Linked DNA regions of Arabidopsis thaliana. The protein of the gene in region 1 interacts with the protein of each later gene in a pairwise test. Each region holds a gene or a part of one and is shown on either strand. Other genes may lie near its edges.

Region 1 (4,607 bases):
ATTAATCACTCAATTTTATAACCTTTTCTGTTACAAACATGTGCTTTGCCTTGGAGTCTTCCTATTCTACTAGATTATACTTATTACTTAACAGTAGTTGACATACAATAGTCTTCTAAACTACAAAAAAAATACAACAAATGTATTCGATAGTATTCTTTTTCTTTTTACCAAATAGGCATGTAAAAAACGATCAATTGGGTTGGTTATATGTCAAAATAGGGAGACTCAAGACAAAACGAGACTCAAAACTCTCGGTTAAAGAATGCCAATCAACATGAATAGAGATGTCAATCATTAGGCCGACAGTAGGTCTTGGTGGCCTAGTCAGGCTCAAGAGGCAGTCGATCAATACTCATTCATGGTATCGATCGATTTTGTCGACAAAATGGAATTGGCATGATGAAATATCGATCAATTATTCAACAAAATAAATTGACTTGTCTTGCCTCTAACGGGCTGTTGATTGATGCAACATAGAAGCTATCGATCAACACCTTCATTTCTTGTATTTTTTTCCTTCAGTTTTGCTCCAAAAACTTTAATCTTGTTCGAATCCAGTTTTTATCTAAACTGACTCTATAAATACCAGAGATTCTTTATAACACTGAAAACTTATTGAGTATATTAGATTTAGAAGTTTAGTAAATATTCTAACACCTCAAAGTTTGAGACAGAATTTTTAAGTTGATCAAGTTATAACAGTATTCTGAAAAGTGTATTTTCCAATCTTATTGATATGTTTCATTCACGATTTTTTTTTCTCCTTTCTCTTATCCCTCGACGATTGAATTTAAGATCAGATGTTTTAGCCCGTCTAGCCAAAATGTTTTTTGAAGACATTGGCTTTGTAAATTATACTCATTTGGTTTGAGCGATAATCAAGAAATTACTTTACAATTTAAGTTTGAATTTGGCAAAAAAAAGTTTTTGTTGTGCGTTTATTTGACTAGATTATATTATACTTTACTCTAACTACAATCATATATATACATTGGTAACACGATAGACAACATATATAAAAGTCTTTTAAACTATAAAAGCCAACATATATATTCCATAGTATTCTTTAAAACAAAAACAAATATGCATGTAAATAATAGATTTGTCTTTTTATTGTTGTCACTGTAGCGACATTTTTTTCCGTCACTGTAACAACGTATATTTTCTCCACAGAACTAACAAATTCGAATCTATTTGTTTGATGGTGTTCATTTTTAATCCAATGTACATATGCAAGTAGTAGATATCTCTTTCTTTTTTGTATATACACGATATATAAAATAGTTCACTAAGTTATAAATCTAAAAATTTATTTTGATAATATTTTGTTTACCAAATAAATACACAAATAGTATATATGCGTTGTTCGTCATGATATCGTCATATATAAAATCCACTACAATATAAAATTTTGGTCATTTTGTTTGATAATATTTATTTTTCACCAGATATAAGCATGTAAATAATAGATTTTTTTTTTCTTGTCGGCTCGTTAACGACATTTATAACGGAATAACGGTATACTAAAGTACAAATTTTTATTCTATTCCCTTTATACCAAATAAGCTTTCATGGTAACATCCGCTAAATTATATATTGTCATCATGGTAACATCCGCTAAATTACAAATTTCAAATAATTTTTACTTTTACCAAACAGAAAAGTAAGAAATATTTTTTTGTCGACACTTTAACGATATATATATGTAACGGTATATAATTTACAAATTCAGAAATTTTGTTCGCTATATATTTTCTTACAAATTTTTTTTTTTTTGTTTATGTGTTAACAACATATATAACTACAAATTCGATAATTTTGTTTGAATATTTTTTCTACTAGATACACACACAATAGTTTATATTATATATATATATATATAAATCTTGACCTAACTAAAACATATAGTTTAAAAGGGTGTTATTAGTTCTTAATTAATTAAAAAAAATTCAAGAATCTGATAAAATCATAGATTGTAAAGAAATGAAAGTTTCTAAACTATTATTATAGAGTTTTCTATAATCTTGTTGATTAGTTTTTCACAATTTCTAAATTTTCTCAAACAATCTTTCTTTTTTAATGATACTTTTCGTAACTTTATTTTGGAAAAAGTGTAGAAAATCATAAACCAATAACACAATAATTTAATTCATTGACAATTATAGATTCTTTTGTTTTAGCTAAATAATATAAAATTTATAATAATTTTATAAAAGTATAAATCCAATAACTATAGATTTATCAAGATTTTAAATTATTTTTTACAAATCTTAATATTTTAAATTTTTTTAATTGAATAACAATAGATTCTTTATAATATTTTAAGTTACTAAAACTTTAATTAAATCACAAACTAATAACACTCTTTAATAGTGTATACTAGTATTATTGTTATGTCATTATATAGATTTAAATCCGCATATTACATTGCTTTAATAAGAAAAATTACTTAAAATTGCAAAGTGGCGATATAACATGTTTTATAGATTTAGTACAAATATGTTCCTAGTTTAAATAGGGATAAATGCAGCAAAAACCAAATTATATTATATTCTTAATAGGCAGTAACTTAATTTATAAGATTGTGATTTGTGCAGTCTTTGTTACAAAGGTGAAAAAGGGTAATAAATAAGATTCTTTTGGAGAAAGAGAAGTGAACACGTGGCAAAACATAAGTGGATATAATAACAAAAACCAGTTTTTATATGAAATAAGAGAAGCATGAGAGAGAGATAATTAAACCATCTCTCAAAATGGCTTTGACTGTTCACAAGAAAGCTCCCCAAAAGGAGCGTTGCTTTACTCTCCTATAAAAAGAAGCTCTTCTACTTCTTCTCGTTACCACAAAACTCTTTCACCGATCTTCTCGTTCCATTCTTCTTCCTAATTACACCATGCCCAACATCACCATGGGTTTGAAACCCGACCCGGTTGCTCCAACGAACCCGACTCATCATGAGAGTAATGCTGCCAAAGAGATTCGTTACAGAGGCGTTAGGAAACGTCCATGGGGAAGATACGCCGCTGAGATCCGAGATCCGGTTAAGAAAACTCGAGTCTGGCTCGGTACGTTCGACACCGCTCAGCAGGCGGCGCGTGCTTACGACGCAGCCGCGCGTGACTTTCGTGGTGTTAAGGCTAAGACCAATTTCGGTGTTATCGTTGGTAGTAGTCCTACTCAGAGTAGCACCGTCGTCGACTCTCCCACGGCGGCACGGTTTATAACACCTCCGCACCTCGAGCTCAGCTTAGGCGGCGGCGGCGCGTGTCGTCGTAAGATCCCGCTTGTGCATCCGGTTTACTACTATAACATGGCGACGTATCCAAAGATGACGACGTGTGGTGTCCAGAGCGAGTCTGAAACGTCGTCGGTCGTTGATTTCGAAGGTGGAGCTGGGAAGATATCTCCGCCGTTAGATCTGGATCTTAACTTAGCTCCTCCGGCGGAATAGGCCGTGAGTTTTTTTTTTCTTATGTCGTTTCTTTAGACAAAAAAAAATAACGTTTCCTTTTTTTTTCTGCCTAAGAAAAAAATATTATCCGTTTTTTAGAAGAAAGTGTAGAAAAGCTCCAATATAATTTTTAGCTGCCGTGAAAAAAAAGTCGTTATGTATATATTATTATGAAACCCTATTATAAATCGACGTAACATAAGAGGATCTTAAGCTTTTTTTTTTTCTTTAGTATTTGCCAAGGAAATGCATCATCGTAAATTCGTAATTGAAAAGATAAAGTATTATAGAGCTTTTTGGGGCTCGTGTGTAGAAGAAATAGATAAAGAATGGTAATGTTATTATTATAAGACTAAATATAGTGATGAGTATCGTCGTCGTCGGCTTGAAAAGACAATGGTCCAAGTGTCGTGAAGACACGCACCAATCGTGGGAGGACCGGACCCATCTTCTCTGGCTGCGGCGTACGTTAGAAGAATACTTCTTTACGCTTACGTCATTTTCACAGTTTGGACTGCTTTTCTAACTTTTGACTTTTGTGTTTTGCATCAACTCTTTTAACTCCGATGATTTATTAACAGATGGTTAAGAGTCTTGCTTAAGTTGAATAGTATTCGATTTGAAATGGTAAAAATGTTTTAAGGAAGTTGAAGATAAGAAGAGCGGCGGCTTCATAATGAGAGACAAAGGAAGGATGAGATTTGATTTTGATTCTTGTCGCCAACTTTGTGATCAAAAAACGTATAAAACAGTTATGCTCTATGGTCGCAGATCCAACGGCTGGAATCGTCATCGTTACCACGTGGACGCTTAACATAATTTAAATTCTTATTTCATATTTTTTTAAAGAAGTTAGTATGTTTTAAAATATATATATATGCATGCGTACAAAATCGTGTTAAGGGTTATAATAAAGGGATGTAAAATTGGGGCCTCTAGAAAGTTGAATAGTTTCAATTAAGCCCTTATCTTAACGACATTTAGCCCCACTCAACCAAATATACACCCATGTCATGTCACTACGCACAACTATGGATCACTCCCATAAGTAGATGTTTTATATCAATTGACGATTGCAACTTTTTTACGTTACAAATTTAATGCTGGACCGAAGGCTACCATACTAGGATCCGAAAGCCCGATCCACGTGTG
Region 2 (5,513 bases), on another chromosome or scaffold:
CTATGTCAGTTAATTGAATTTTTATCTTCCACGAAATACGCAATACGCAATTCATTATTGATGTTTTACTGAAATCGAGTGATAAACTATAGGCATAAAAAATTATACTACTATAAAACAACAAGTGAAAATGTTACATTTAATATTACAATAAATGAAACATGTGATATCACAAGGAACAACAACATCTTAAAATCGTAACTCCATTTTGATGCATGACATATTTTATCCCATATCACATTACACGACTTGCAATATGCCAAGAAGTCACATAAAGTAAATGCACATAATTGTTCAAATAAAAGAAAAGGTCCATAAATGAGTTTACTAGTACACCAACCAAACATTTACTCAACCTAATACGTCATACATATTAGGACTTGACTTACACTCGCCAGGACAATCTCCAACTCTCTCCATTGATAGAAATCGTAATTTATTGCTCTCTTTGTTTTCCGTGCAATTTATTTTTCGATCATGAGAATGAAAATATTTTTTCAAACTAGAAAACAAAATAATAGAATCAAAGCAAGACCGGATGTTTAAAAAACAAGACAAATCAAAAAAAAATATTTTGTTAAATCAAAACAACGACAAAAAAGAAACAAGACAAATCAAAACAAGACCGGCGTAAGATTTAGGTAACTAGTATTAATTTTGTTATGGACTTTGTATGATACACTTCCTTTAATAAATATCAGAATTCAAAAAACAAAAACAAAAAGAGTTACCTATGAGAATCTAAAATTCTGCTACTCACATAAATAGTAAACGTGACAAATGATATCACGAACTACAAAGTCTAATGATTCGAAGTAAATAATAACAGTGCACATCCCAATGCATTGGTTAAATCGCCAAGAATTTTCTTAAACATACATTATAAGAAAACATCAAAAACTTATCTTACACGCTCCAAAACCAAGATTATAGGTACCCTAATAAAACACATGTTTATAAAGCTACCTAAACAATGATTAGCCGAGAAAGGAGAAAACATTAACCATACGATAAGAAAGTACTTAATTAATTAAGTAATCACATGAGTGAAGTTATATAACAACAATCTGAACTTAACTAAGGATTAGTAGAAGCAAGATTTTCAGTAATGTCGTTATTACCAGCAGAAAGGTCGACATTGTTACTAACGTTGTTGCTCTTCTTGGAGAGATTTTGTTTGTTGTTGTGCATCCAAACTTTAAGAACTCTTCTCCTAATTCCAATCTCTTGACAAAGCTGTTGAACAACAGATTCCTCTTGTCTCTGAATCTTCCAACCAACTCTTTCCGCAAAACTAATCATCTTCTCCTTTTGCTCTTGTGTAAACTTTGTCCTAAACCTTTTCTTCTGATTATGTCCGTAACTATACGGTGATGGTGGTGGTGGTGGCTGCCGGAATGTCAAGCTTCCTCCGCCTTCTTCCTCCATAAGATCCTCTGACTCTGAGTTGGATCCAGCGGTTGTAACGCCAATAGGCATTATCATTTGTTGTGGTAATGGTGATTTGATCATCTTGTGGTGGAACATGAGTTTTCTCTGCTGCGGAGGTGGTTGGTGGTGGTTGAGGTAAGGGGAAAAGAATGTTTTCTCTTCACCTTCGGTTTCTCTTCTATGAAAGTTTCTATGGCAGTTGCAAACTGAGCAAGTGAGAGCTTCAATGGAACCTTCTTCACCACTTGGCATAAACTCTCCACAACCATCAATGGCATTGCCTCCCATGGTAGCTGCATGGTTCTTTAGGCATTCCTTGTACTTTATCACCACAGGCTTCTCTTTCTTGATGTTGGTAACCATGATGTTGTAACCCACATGATGATGATGAGAATGATCATGATTTTTACCAAGACCATTACTATTTGAGGAGACTAGTAGTGGGTTTGAAGTAGTAATGTTGAGAGATGATGGTGCAGAATTGGCATGATGATGATGGTTCATGTTCCCATGCCCACCTCCACTATTACCATAACTAGTGTTTATTGGAATAGGATCTTCTTGACTTGCAATCTCCATTCTTTTGATCTATCTGCCAAGGAAATAAACACGATTTTATATTTAAAACTTTTTTTGGGTTTTGCAAAGTGTTTCTTGGTTTGGGGACAAAGAAACTAGTTAGGAAGAAAAAAACAAGAGTAAAGATAATTAATGAGTAAAATTCAAATGATTAAGCTACAAAAAGGCAAGAGCTTTCTTCACTACTCATTAACCCCATTTTTTTAATTATTTCCTCCAAACAAAAAGAAAAACCCTAATTTTAGAAGGTCCATAAAGATAGAGAACAAAACGAAAAAGTACAAAAGAAAAGAAAAACTTATTGCAAGCCTGCTTAAGCAAAAGCTGACAAACCCACTTGAGAAAGAAAGGTCTTATTCCAAGTGAGAGGTTGATGATAATCAAGAAGACAATCTTTATTGTATCACCAAAACAAAATTGTTCTATTTAAACCAAATGAAAAAATTGACTGAAGAAGTTAAGAGCACATACCCACAACCAGAAAGAGCAGCAAACTTTATCTCAAAATGAAACCTTTCTTGAGAATAACCACAAGGTTCTGAGAATAGAGAGAGGCTAAGGAGTTTAGAGATTTAATTAGGGTTTTATAAAGTGATAGACTTTGAAGAAAGAAGATAAAGAGAGAGAGAGAGAGAGAGAGAAAGAGAGAATTGCAGGTGGGTTTTGGATGTGAAGGCACTTCTTAAACTAAGGGCTTAGAGTATTAGTAGTGAAAGCCAATAAAGCATGAGAAAGACACATGAGAGCCATAGCCATAGCTAATTATTTCCTCACTTTTCTACAGACAAAGAGAAAAAAGATCATTAATTAATTACACCTAGTTTTCATTTTATTAATTCATATATAGGATATTTTATTCAATAATGTCTCTACCAAATTAAAATTTGGGTGATAATATATAGACAAAAACAATACAATTGTGATCAAAATATGGAAAAGAAAAAGTGTAGCTAAATTATTTGAAACAAAAAAAGCTACATCATTTAATTTAAAATTTGAAGAAACAACAACAATCACTAAATTAGACTTTATAAGATAAGTAGTTATTCATTTTTATATACATTTTTACTCATGAAATGTCATTTTATAATATTGATATATCGCAGTCATTGATGAATTGAAGGTTATATTGAATATAAGACCATCCTCATTCTTCATTGGTGATACTTTGAGGGTGTCTTTAAATTAAAAATAATAGAAAAAGATAATTTAATGTTTTTAATTGTGTAATAGTGTCTTTAGAAAGACATTTTAGATCTCTAAAATAGAAGCTGTCTTTAATTTAATTTTAATTTATTTTTGAGATATCTACAAAGGTATGAGTAATGTGGATGCTCTAAGATTTTCATATTCACCCAAAACAAATTATCAGTAAAGGGAAAGAAAAAAAAGAAGAGAGCCAAGAATTAGGATTATGGGAGATTGCTTGTCTTGCACTATCAGACATCAAATTTACAACAGTGTAGAAACGTGTCAGATAATTAGTGGGAAGAGTATTGAAGTAGATAACAAAGAGAAAGTCATAATAAATAACAATATCTCATCTTTGTTCCAAAACATTAAATAACTAAAAATTTGGTAGTAAGGTATAATAATAATATTTTTTACCATCTTAAAATTTAAAAGTGTGAGATTGATACTAATTCAAAACGAAAGAATGTTCTAAACATTACTATAAAGCCTTAACTTGTTAAGCTAGTTAATTAAAAACACATATTGTTCCTTTACCCTTCGGCCTTCGCCATTAATTATGTCACGTATGATATTAGCTTCAAGAGGTTGTCATGTCATGCTTGTGAATTTATATGATTTACTTGAAGTTACTATTAATTATTGGTCCTACCAAATATGTGCACTTATATACCATGATCATCCGTTTTCTGGAACATACAATTGTGAGAAAGAATCAAAAGATAAACAATAAAATAAAAATATCATAATCAACTGATAATATAGTTACTGAAATATATTCATAAACCAAAGTTTGTTACGAGTTTTGTTAAGACCAAAATCTCGATTATTATTAAGTTTTGATAATATAAAGTTTTTGGTTTATATTGCGGGCTATCAGTGTTGTAAAATTAGACTCTATGTTATAGATGATATATGAACAATTGCTCTTGGGTGGCAGAATTGTAAATTTTGGCCTAAAAGTATATATAGTAAGTCTTGGTAAATAGATTTTTTTTATTGCTTTACATTTTCGACTTAATTATCACTAATCCCTATTTTTATATTTCTTTAAAATCAAACAAATGAAAACATCAAATCACCAATACATATTAAGATTTTACCTGAAAACTATTACTTTCTTGCTTAAGATTATTATTTCTGCTTCTTGATGACTAATGTTTTAAGATATATTTTTCTTTTTGACGGTCAAAAAATATGTTTCATTTTCATGTTTTGACCTTTTAGGTATAATTGTTCTAATCGACAAACTTAATTCGTTTTAGAAAAGTTCTAACAAACACGACAAGTTGTTGTCTCAACTACGGTGGCGGTTGTTCCTCTAGGTGAGTGGGGACTAATCTCATTTTTATTGATTCGTAAAAGAAGCACTAACTACCAAATTGCGGCAATTGCTAATGACCATTCAAGTCTTAATTACACAAAACACAATTAAGAAATAAGAGCAGTTCACTTTCTTAGTTTATAATTTCCTTGTGACCTTGTGGGCTTTTATTTTATAATACAAAAAAAACAAAAATTGAGATACTTTTATCTTTTTCTTTTGTTTTCTTCTTGTTTCTATGTGTTGTCTATTCTTCTGGACTCTGGTAAAATTCCTTCCATTGTAGCAGCTTTTTCAAAAACAACTCTTTTATTTTCTTTGTACCTTACGGTTTACGATATCATCAGAATAATGGCAAATAAATGCATACTCCATATAATTTAATTTAATTTCCCGTCGTCCATACTATGTATTTATTCACACGTCAAGTGACTTTTATTCGAGGTGATGTAAAAAAAAAAGCGACTTGTATTCGAGGTATAAGAAACAAATAAAATAAAAGGGACCACAAGAATATTTTTCAAATTATTCAATTATTAAGAAAAAACATAATTAATGAAAATGGTAAATTATTTAATATATATTTTTTCCTGTGTCGTTAGTTATATAATTTTTTGAAAATATAATCTACGATATTTAATTATATGCCGCTTACGTGATTGAGATAAACAGTTTTCACGAACAAGATTTTATGGTACAACTCTCCCTATAATATTATCCGTTTTTTACATGGATCAAATTTAATTTCTGTTTCGGCATGTAAGAAGTTCATATATTTCAATCGAAATAAATAAATAGATAGTATATTATCCTTATGAAAAGTTCTAATTATATATCGCATAATTACGTACGTATCATTGTTGATGAGTGTAGGATGAAAAATGGTTTTGCTCTTTGGGATTTCGATTGGTTTGGGATGGATGTTTGATTCTTTTGAAGTTCTAGCTAATCATAACCATTTTTCTTATAAACTGAATATGGTATTTTT
Region 3 (3,881 bases), on another chromosome or scaffold:
GCTGAAAAGCAAATCTCTATTTGATCAATTAATTCGAACGCTCAATAGTATGTAAGAAGTCATTTACACAGTACCTCGGTAAGTGTTTGAGGGTTAAATATTTGTTGAATTTTTAACATCACACTAATTTAGAGTATAATCTAAATTATAAGGTATACGTATGAAATCATAGCTCAATGATGATAGAATTCGTTAATTATTCTCGTAAAAGTGAATATTTGATTTAAAATGAGTCAAAATATATTTGATTTGACGAATTCTAAAAGTGTTCCGCTTGAGTTATAGAAACATGCTCAAAATGATGGTGATGACTTTTTTTTAGTTCTTTATTTGAAAAGTCAGTTTGGAAATGAAAACAGTAAGGCTGACCAAACAATATACAGTATGTTATCCAACTCTTATCCGTTTTAAGAAAACAAAGTATGTGTAAGAGTCGGGTAATATGATATCAGGTTATTTCTAAACCATCTGTCTTGTAACCCATCATTTTACTTGGATATATTTTCTTACATACAAATAATTTATTATAATAGTTTAGACATGTCAATTGGACTAGTCCAGTCTGACAAAGTCCAGAAAATTCGAATATATTTTATTTAGTCTGGTTCGGTTAGTAAAAATTTTGAAATAAAAAAATTTGAACTTATATTTCAAGATCTGGTAATAACAGGGACAAGACTTTTCCAGGTTTTTTATGTTTTTCTTTCCAGAAAAAAACAAATTTATAATTTATAATATTTCTGAAAGATGGATATATGAACAAAACAAATCAGTTGAAATTTAAATAACCATGAAAGCCAGTTTATTTTCAAAAAAAAAGGTTTAAAATCAAAAAAAATAATCTAATTTTTTTATTTAAACTCATAACAAATAAAATATAAAATCAGAAGATTTTAATCTAGACAGTCGAGCCAAGATTTGTTTTTTAGATTTATAGTAAGGCACAATTGAAAAACTAGGTTTAGGGTTTTCAATACTATTAAAAAAAACAAAAACAAATATTCCAATTAAAGAAAAATATTAACAAAAGAAAAGTAAAAAAAAAAATTAAAATTTTTTTAGGCCGGCTTGAATCTGGTGGGATTAAGCCTCAAAAACTTTTTATCCCGAATGGGTTAGCTTAAGGGAATTTTCTGGATATATATTTTTAAGTCTGAATCTCTATTTTCAGAATTGATAGTCCGGGGAATTTGACCCTAAATGAAATATAGTTTGATAAATAAACAAATAGACAATATCTGAAGAACAAATTAACCGTCCAAAAAAAAATATGCGAACTCCTATCCAAACACCTAGTTTAAAAATAACAATATAATATTTTAAATAACAATGTTGGAATATCATTAATTTCTAAGGAAAAAAACTAAAACCTTAACTTTAAAAAAATTAAAATAGGATAAAATAGGACTATACTTGTACAGTTGTATCAGTAAATAATAATTTCTGTAAACTGCCAGAAGAAAGGTTTATTTTCCTTTTTTTAGTGGACCTATCAATTAATTATTCCAATATAACTTCTTTTTTTCAGGTCCACTAAATATATTTTCTATACTACATATTATATTACATGATAATATTTCATTCTCAAATATACCTATATAAATTTAAGATTTCTTCTATTTACCAATTAGTTTAATTATTAGTTTGTTACACCATTATTGTTTTCCATACATAACATAAATAGAAATAGAGTTTTCTGTAACGTTTCTATATAATCCAAGTGAAACAAACATATTTTCCACTTCCATTTACAAAAGAAAAAGAAAAAAAAAACAGAGAAAAATGGATTCGAAAAATGGAATTAACAACAGCCAAAAGGCAAGAAGGACTCCAAAAGACCGCCATTTGAAAATTGGTGGCCGTGATCGTCGCATTCGGATCCCGCCGAGTGTTGCTCCCCAACTATTTAGATTGACAAAAGAACTCGGCTTTAAAACCGATGGTGAAACTGTCAGTTGGCTCCTCCAGAATGCCGAGCCTGCCATTTTCGCAGCCACGGGACATGGTGTCACCACCACCTCCAATGAAGATATCCAGCCAAATAGGAATTTTCCTAGTTACACCTTTAATGGTGATAATATTAGTAATAACGTTTTCCCTTGTACGGTTGTAAATACTGGTCATCGTCAGATGGTGTTTCCGGTTTCTACAATGACAGATCATGCACCTTCAACTAATTACAGTACTATTAGTGATAATTACAATTCCACCTTTAATGGTAATGCTACCGCCAGTGATACAACATCAGCAGCAACAACAACAGCCACAACCACAGTTTGAGCTTGTGAAGGAGGAGACGGCGTCGCTGAGAAGGCCAATTTGGAGTCTTTAAAATAAATATTGGAGATTTAAGAGTGTTCAGTTCTGGACGTTTTAGTTCGTTTCTGTTTGCTTTTTCTTTCCTCTTCATGTTTTTCAGTTTGAGAGTTGAACTAGGGTTTGTTTTAGTTCGATCGGTATCCATTTGTCTTTTTTTCTTGTATGCTCATGTTTTTTTAAGATGAATAATAATACCTAAAATTAATTATAGATGTAATTTAAAACTGTTTGTCCATGTTTGAAGTTTAGTAGAGAATTTGATTTCAACAATGGATTAAATTAAACTCTTCACAACAAATTTGATTCATTTTTTCTTTTTTGGACACGAACAATTTCGTTGGTATTCTAGAATAAATAATTCTGTCATAATATTTACCGAAACATAACTTTTATGTACAGTTATTTATTTCCGTTTTCTAATTTGTCAAAATTCGTTTGTCTTTCGAACCTAAAGGTTCCAACGGTTATGAAAACATTAATTAAAAACGGATATCAAAAACTATAATATAAATAAATTAAAGAGATAATAAAAGGAACAATTGAGTAAGAATGTGGTTTTATATCTGTTAAAGAAATTTCCAGCTCACACTTAGCTGGACAATAATTATTTAAGATTTGTTTCTGTATTTAGCTTCATACATCTATTTTAATATTTCTTAATACACAGATATATATTTTAATATATATATATATATATTATTTTCAAGATTCTCAAGGAAAAAAAAAGAAAAAAAAAAGGAAGGAAAACTAAATCTAAAGAATAAGAAACTAATTTTTGTGTAAATAAAAATTACTTTAATAAACTTTTAATAGTTTTCCCTTAAATTCTTTTACTTTATAGATTGGTTAATATGTATTTAGAGAAAAATACTATTTAACCTTTATTTAGATTAAAAAAAAAAACTTGAGTAAGAAAATGGTTTAAAATTCTTAAAGAAAATTCCAGCTCACTTTAAGCTAGAAAAAGAGATTATATAGTTTATAGTATAAAAATAAATTTAATCATACCATGTTTAATAAAATTTGAAGAAAAACTTATTTTCTTTTTCCATGAATAACAAGATTTTTCTTAACAATTAAAATTTCTTTTAGCAACATATATTAATACTTTAGTTTTCTGTTTTTTTGTTGGACATGGGTTCCGCCCCATTCCAAAAAGCCCGGCCCAAATATAGTTAGGCCCATAAGAAAGAGACTTGCGTTTGGTCCGTTACACAAGCTCAGCCCATTAAGTATCGTCAATTTGCTGGGAGCAGAAAAGAAAAATCATCCCGAGTTCATGACCGCATATATCTTCCCTATAAAAGCGGAAAAACACTGTCGAGAAAGGATCCCGAATTTCACGCTGACACATATGTAGAGAGTACATGTAATCTCCTTCGTACAAGTTTCCCCATTGAGTTCCTAGGAAGCCTTTTTTTAATCGTTAGTACGTACGAACATCTTTCGAACCAAACGCCTTGTCCGTCATTCTTGCACCTTTATTCAAACGAGTTGGATACATTGTCTTCTCGGATTGTCCTTGTAAACTCGTACCTTCACCTTGTATAATCTTGTATTCG
Region 4 (4,692 bases), on another chromosome or scaffold:
AAAGTTACATATATATCCTGAAAAGTTTGCTTCACTGTATATATATCATCATCCTACACGCGCTTCACCGGCGTTTACCCTTTCAATTTCTGGTTAACTAAGTTGAACCGGATTAGTAATTCTTCGGTTTAGTTGTTCTTCTATACGACAATTTATCACTTGACAAATATAAACGATCTATTACTTGCAACATTCATATTTAATCTAGTATCTTACACGTACATATTTGTTAGAAATTCAATGACCAAACATTGCAAAACTATTACATTCACTTGTTGCATGTAAGCTAGAAGCCTAGAACTCGCTGTCAACGACTACAATGTCTACATTATTTTCACCGACACAATTTACATCTTAACCAAAATTTGGATATTGGACCAATCGTTCGTTTATATAATAACCACACGTATCAATCAACACACAGAAGACAATGACATGTAACAAACAGTGTAAAATATTGAAAATAACTTATCAAAAAACTTTAGTTCATAACACAAAAACTTTCGGCTATTTTTTATTGACTTCTATGTAGTCTTTTTGTTGCACTTACTATTTTTAAAAGCAATATGTATGTTTCCAGCAGATTCTTAGTTTTTACAAAATTTTGCCTTTAATATTTTTTTTGATATACATTGCCATTCTTGATTTCATTTTCTTCTACAATAGTATCAAAATTTTACAAAATAAAACTTCAAAAAACATACGAAAAAGTTAACAAATATTCAAAAAGAGAATGATTTTAAAAAGGATATAAATATAGAGAGAATAAAACGTAGAAGTTAACGATTTTTTTTTGTGAGTGTCACTTTAGATGGAAAATGAAATGATTGGGTAAAAACGCTCCACCTGTAAAACAGAGAGTGGAAGAAACGCTCCTGTGTACGAGCGTACTCTCTCTTCAAAAGAAAACAAATCTCTCAAAAAAAAGAAAGAACAATTGAAAAAAAAAAAGCAAATCTCAAACTCAAAGTACATATACTTACTTGACACGTGTTAATATACAGCTGTATCCCAAGTCCCCAACCGTTTTTCCTGGAAGATTCTCTGCTCTCCACGCTCGATGTTAACCTCACACAAACGCTTATCTCCCAAAACGCCTTTTCCAATCGCCAACGTGTTTTATTTTTGGTTTAAAATAAATATCTGTTCCAATCATACAAACACGTAAATGTTGTCAATTTTTTTATACCCAAACGTTAACGAGGTTTGTACGTAGCCCATTTATGGACACATAATTATGAACATATAAACAATGGTTAATCATACGTTTAAATTAATTAAATTCACCAATATTTTTTTGACTGAATGAGTCAAAATTGTTTAACGAGTAACGACCATAATTATCAGTTTTTATTTTTTATTGTTTGAACTACCATAGTTATCCGTTTAACACTGAGCAAATCTCTTTATTAATAGAGAAAACGGTTTTATTTGTTTCCTTCTATAAAATTTGTTTTTAATAATACGTTAGATATTTTTATGCAGTTAAGGATAATATTACACTGTAAAGTTTAACTAGTTTAATATCGTTTCTGTTAAATCGATAAGAAAAAATTACCGGTTGAACCGGTGACCCTTTTGCCCACTCCTTTCTCGTATAAATACTCTCTCTTCTTGCTCTTATCCTCTTCAACCAAAAAGCTTTTCTTCCCAACACACACAAAAAAAAAAACTGTAACGACCAAAAAAAAAGAGGACGCGTTAGAAGAAAAAAAAAGAACAATCCGATAAAAAGATCCGGCGATGTCAAACCCGACCCGTAAGAATATGGAGAGGATTAAAGGTCCATGGAGTCCAGAAGAAGATGATCTGTTGCAGAGGCTTGTTCAGAAACATGGTCCGAGGAACTGGTCTTTGATTAGCAAATCAATCCCTGGACGTTCCGGCAAATCTTGTCGTCTCCGGTGGTGTAACCAGCTATCTCCGGAGGTAGAGCACCGTGCTTTTTCGCAGGAAGAAGACGAGACGATTATTCGAGCTCACGCTCGGTTTGGTAACAAGTGGGCTACGATCTCTCGTCTTCTCAATGGACGAACCGATAACGCTATCAAGAATCATTGGAACTCGACGCTGAAGCGAAAATGCAGCGTCGAAGGGCAAAGTTGTGATTTTGGTGGTAATGGAGGGTATGATGGTAATTTAGGAGAAGAGCAACCGTTGAAACGTACGGCGAGTGGTGGTGGTGGTGTCTCGACTGGCTTGTATATGAGTCCCGGAAGTCCATCGGGATCTGACGTCAGCGAGCAATCTAGTGGTGGTGCACACGTGTTTAAACCAACGGTTAGATCTGAGGTTACAGCGTCATCGTCTGGTGAAGATCCTCCAACTTATCTTAGTTTGTCTCTTCCTTGGACTGACGAGACGGTTCGAGTCAACGAGCCGGTTCAACTTAACCAGAATACGGTTATGGACGGTGGTTATACGGCGGAGCTGTTTCCGGTTAGAAAGGAAGAGCAAGTGGAAGTAGAAGAAGAAGAAGCGAAGGGGATATCTGGTGGATTCGGTGGTGAGTTCATGACGGTGGTTCAGGAGATGATAAGGACGGAGGTGAGGAGTTACATGGCGGATTTACAGCGAGGAAACGTCGGTGGTAGTAGTTCTGGCGGCGGAGGTGGCGGTTCGTGTATGCCACAAAGTGTAAACAGCCGTCGTGTTGGGTTTAGAGAGTTTATAGTGAACCAAATCGGAATTGGGAAGATGGAGTAGAGTGATAAGAACAAGTTTTCCCTCTGTTTCTCGGGAAAATAAAAGTTTCAGGCTTTTCATGTATAGAGCCAGTAGTAGAGACGACGAAAGGAGGAAGCGAAATCAAAAAATGTTTTGTTATCATCATCATATGATCTTCTTTCGTGATTCAATTAAAAGCAAAGCAAGATCATTTATTAACAATTTACACAAACTTGAAGAAGAAAAGTCAAAAACACTTCTCAAACTTTTATTCTATGGGTTTGTTACGAGGAAACAAACATAAACTAAAAGTAGTAAATATAATCTCACGTGACATAATATATGACCTGAAGAAACCAGTCGAAACGAAACATATATACGATTTTGATGTTTCATAAGCGATCATACAATTCACAGTGTCTTGCTTTTGCAGAATTAGACAAAGAACAGCAAGTTACCCCCTAATGTGCAGAGCTTAAACTGTTGCTGCTGCTACTGGTTGGTTCTTGTGAGCGTAACTTGTTGATTAGATGAACTATGTCTTGTTTCCACGACCATGATGGATCGTTTAGACCACGTACTGAGTTTAGACACACCAGAAGAGTCCCGCCTTCATGTAGAAGTACCTATGATCACAAAAATGCAGGTTAGCGGTTTTGTCTCTCGGGTAAATGATGGATAACAAAAGCTTGTAGTGGGTATTAGCTTACGTACCGTCAACCACAATGGGACAAACCCTAAAACTGAAGGAAGAGCGGCCAAGAATATCGATGTTAATGCAAGAGCTACGTTTTGCTTGACCTGCAACATGATACATTCTTGTTAAATCAGGCAATCTAACATCTGAAACTGGTTAAGAACAAAGACTTTTATGTTTTATCTACCAATGATGTTGTCTGGCGGGATTTAGCGACACAGAACGGAACACCGGTGATGTTGTCTCGAAGCAGTAAGATGTCAGCAACGGCAATCGCAGTGGCACTCGCTCGTTGAGCAAGAACAATCCCCACTGTTGCAGCTGCTAGAGCTGGAGCATCATTAATCCCTTCTCCTACCATAATTAAACCTCCACCTAGCAAAAATCACAACTCTAAATTCTCAGTCTCTTGATAGATGTTTTTGATTGGGAACTATGGCGAGAGTAATGAATGATCACCTGCTTCCCGAGCAATGTTCTTTACATGATTTAACTTATCCTCTGGCTTTAGGTTGCAGTAGACTTCGGTAATACCCACTGCGTTTGCAACTCTCCAAGCACTTGAATCATGGTCCCCAGTTAACATCATTACTCGGAGTCTGGCCCAGCTTTTAAGTTCTGCTATAACTCCTGACACCCCTGGACGAGGCTGATCTTCGAGGTGAATCAATGTTACCTGACAAAATTTAGTTGCAAGGCTCATAAATTTCAGTGTTACAGAGGTTTTTATGGACTAATAAATGGTCAGATGAGAGATGAAAATCACAGACTGTGAAGTAGGAAAGAGGTTTTTAGACCAGCTAAAGAAGTAGTCGTAGTATACCTTTTGATCAACAGAAAGAGCAGCATGAACGAAGTCCTTTCCGTACGAAGACGCGTTTACAGCATCCTTGATCTGTTTAGATTCATCTTCAGATTTGAAAAGTGAGGTAATGAACTCTATAGAACCAAGTGATGCTTTTCGTAATCTACTCTCTTCAGCTACTGTCTATTACAAAACCAAAAAATGTGGTGAGAGACAACATCATATATATTAAGAATGAAAGCCAGAGATGTACACACATCACCCACAGCTATACACTATAAAATCTGGTAGATAAATGGATATATATAAGAATCTAGTAAATAACTGAGTCTCACCTTAACACCGTTGACAGTAGCAGTAAGGCCTCTACCAGGAAAATATTCGAAGCTTTCAACAAAAATAGAAGGAAGATCCTTACCCACACTGTGATCTACAACAGCTCTGCAGCAAGATGAAATGTGTCAGAAACAGCAGAAAAGACCTATAGTACTCTTCAGTCTCAATCTCTTACCAGACCAAGCAT

The links.
Region 2: the proteins of ERF8 (region 1) and HB21 interact in binary tests that used the Arabidopsis thaliana proteins (3 or more experiments, as listed by UniProt).
Region 3: the proteins of ERF8 (region 1) and TCP16 interact in binary tests that used the Arabidopsis thaliana proteins (3 or more experiments, as listed by UniProt).
Region 4: the proteins of ERF8 (region 1) and MYB73 interact in binary tests that used the Arabidopsis thaliana proteins (3 or more experiments, as listed by UniProt).

Annotation. Positions count from the first base shown.
Region 1 is NC_003070.9:19,820,387-19,824,993, reverse strand, and holds ERF8 (ethylene response factor 8), read left to right. Parts: upstream 1-2,741; 5' UTR 2,742-2,897; coding exon 2,898-3,455; 3' UTR 3,456-3,657; downstream 3,658-4,607.
Region 2 is NC_003071.7:680,799-686,311, reverse strand, and holds HB21 (homeobox protein 21), read right to left. Parts: upstream 2,678-5,513; 5' UTR 2,482-2,677; intron 2,024-2,481; 5' UTR 2,011-2,023; coding exon 1,078-2,010; 3' UTR 816-1,077; downstream 1-815. UniProt on the Arabidopsis thaliana protein: Putative transcription factor.
Region 3 is NC_003074.8:16,529,397-16,533,277, forward strand, and holds TCP16 (TCP domain protein 16), read left to right. Parts: upstream 1-1,782; coding exon 1,783-2,280; downstream 2,281-3,881. UniProt on the Arabidopsis thaliana protein: Required during early processes in pollen development.
Region 4 is NC_003075.7:17,538,859-17,543,550, forward strand, and holds MYB73 (myb domain protein 73), read left to right. Parts: upstream 1-1,631; 5' UTR 1,632-1,743; coding exon 1,744-2,706; 3' UTR 2,707-2,941; downstream 2,942-4,692. Other genes in the region: HMA1 (heavy metal atpase 1), read right to left, coding at 3,129-3,293, 3,382-3,468, 3,552-3,739, 3,824-4,040, 4,188-4,352, 4,505-4,610. UniProt on the Arabidopsis thaliana protein: Transcription factor that functions in salt stress response. Acts as a negative regulator of NHX7/SOS1 and CBL4/SOS3 induction in response to salt stress. In response to auxin, activates the transcription of the auxin-responsive gene IAA19.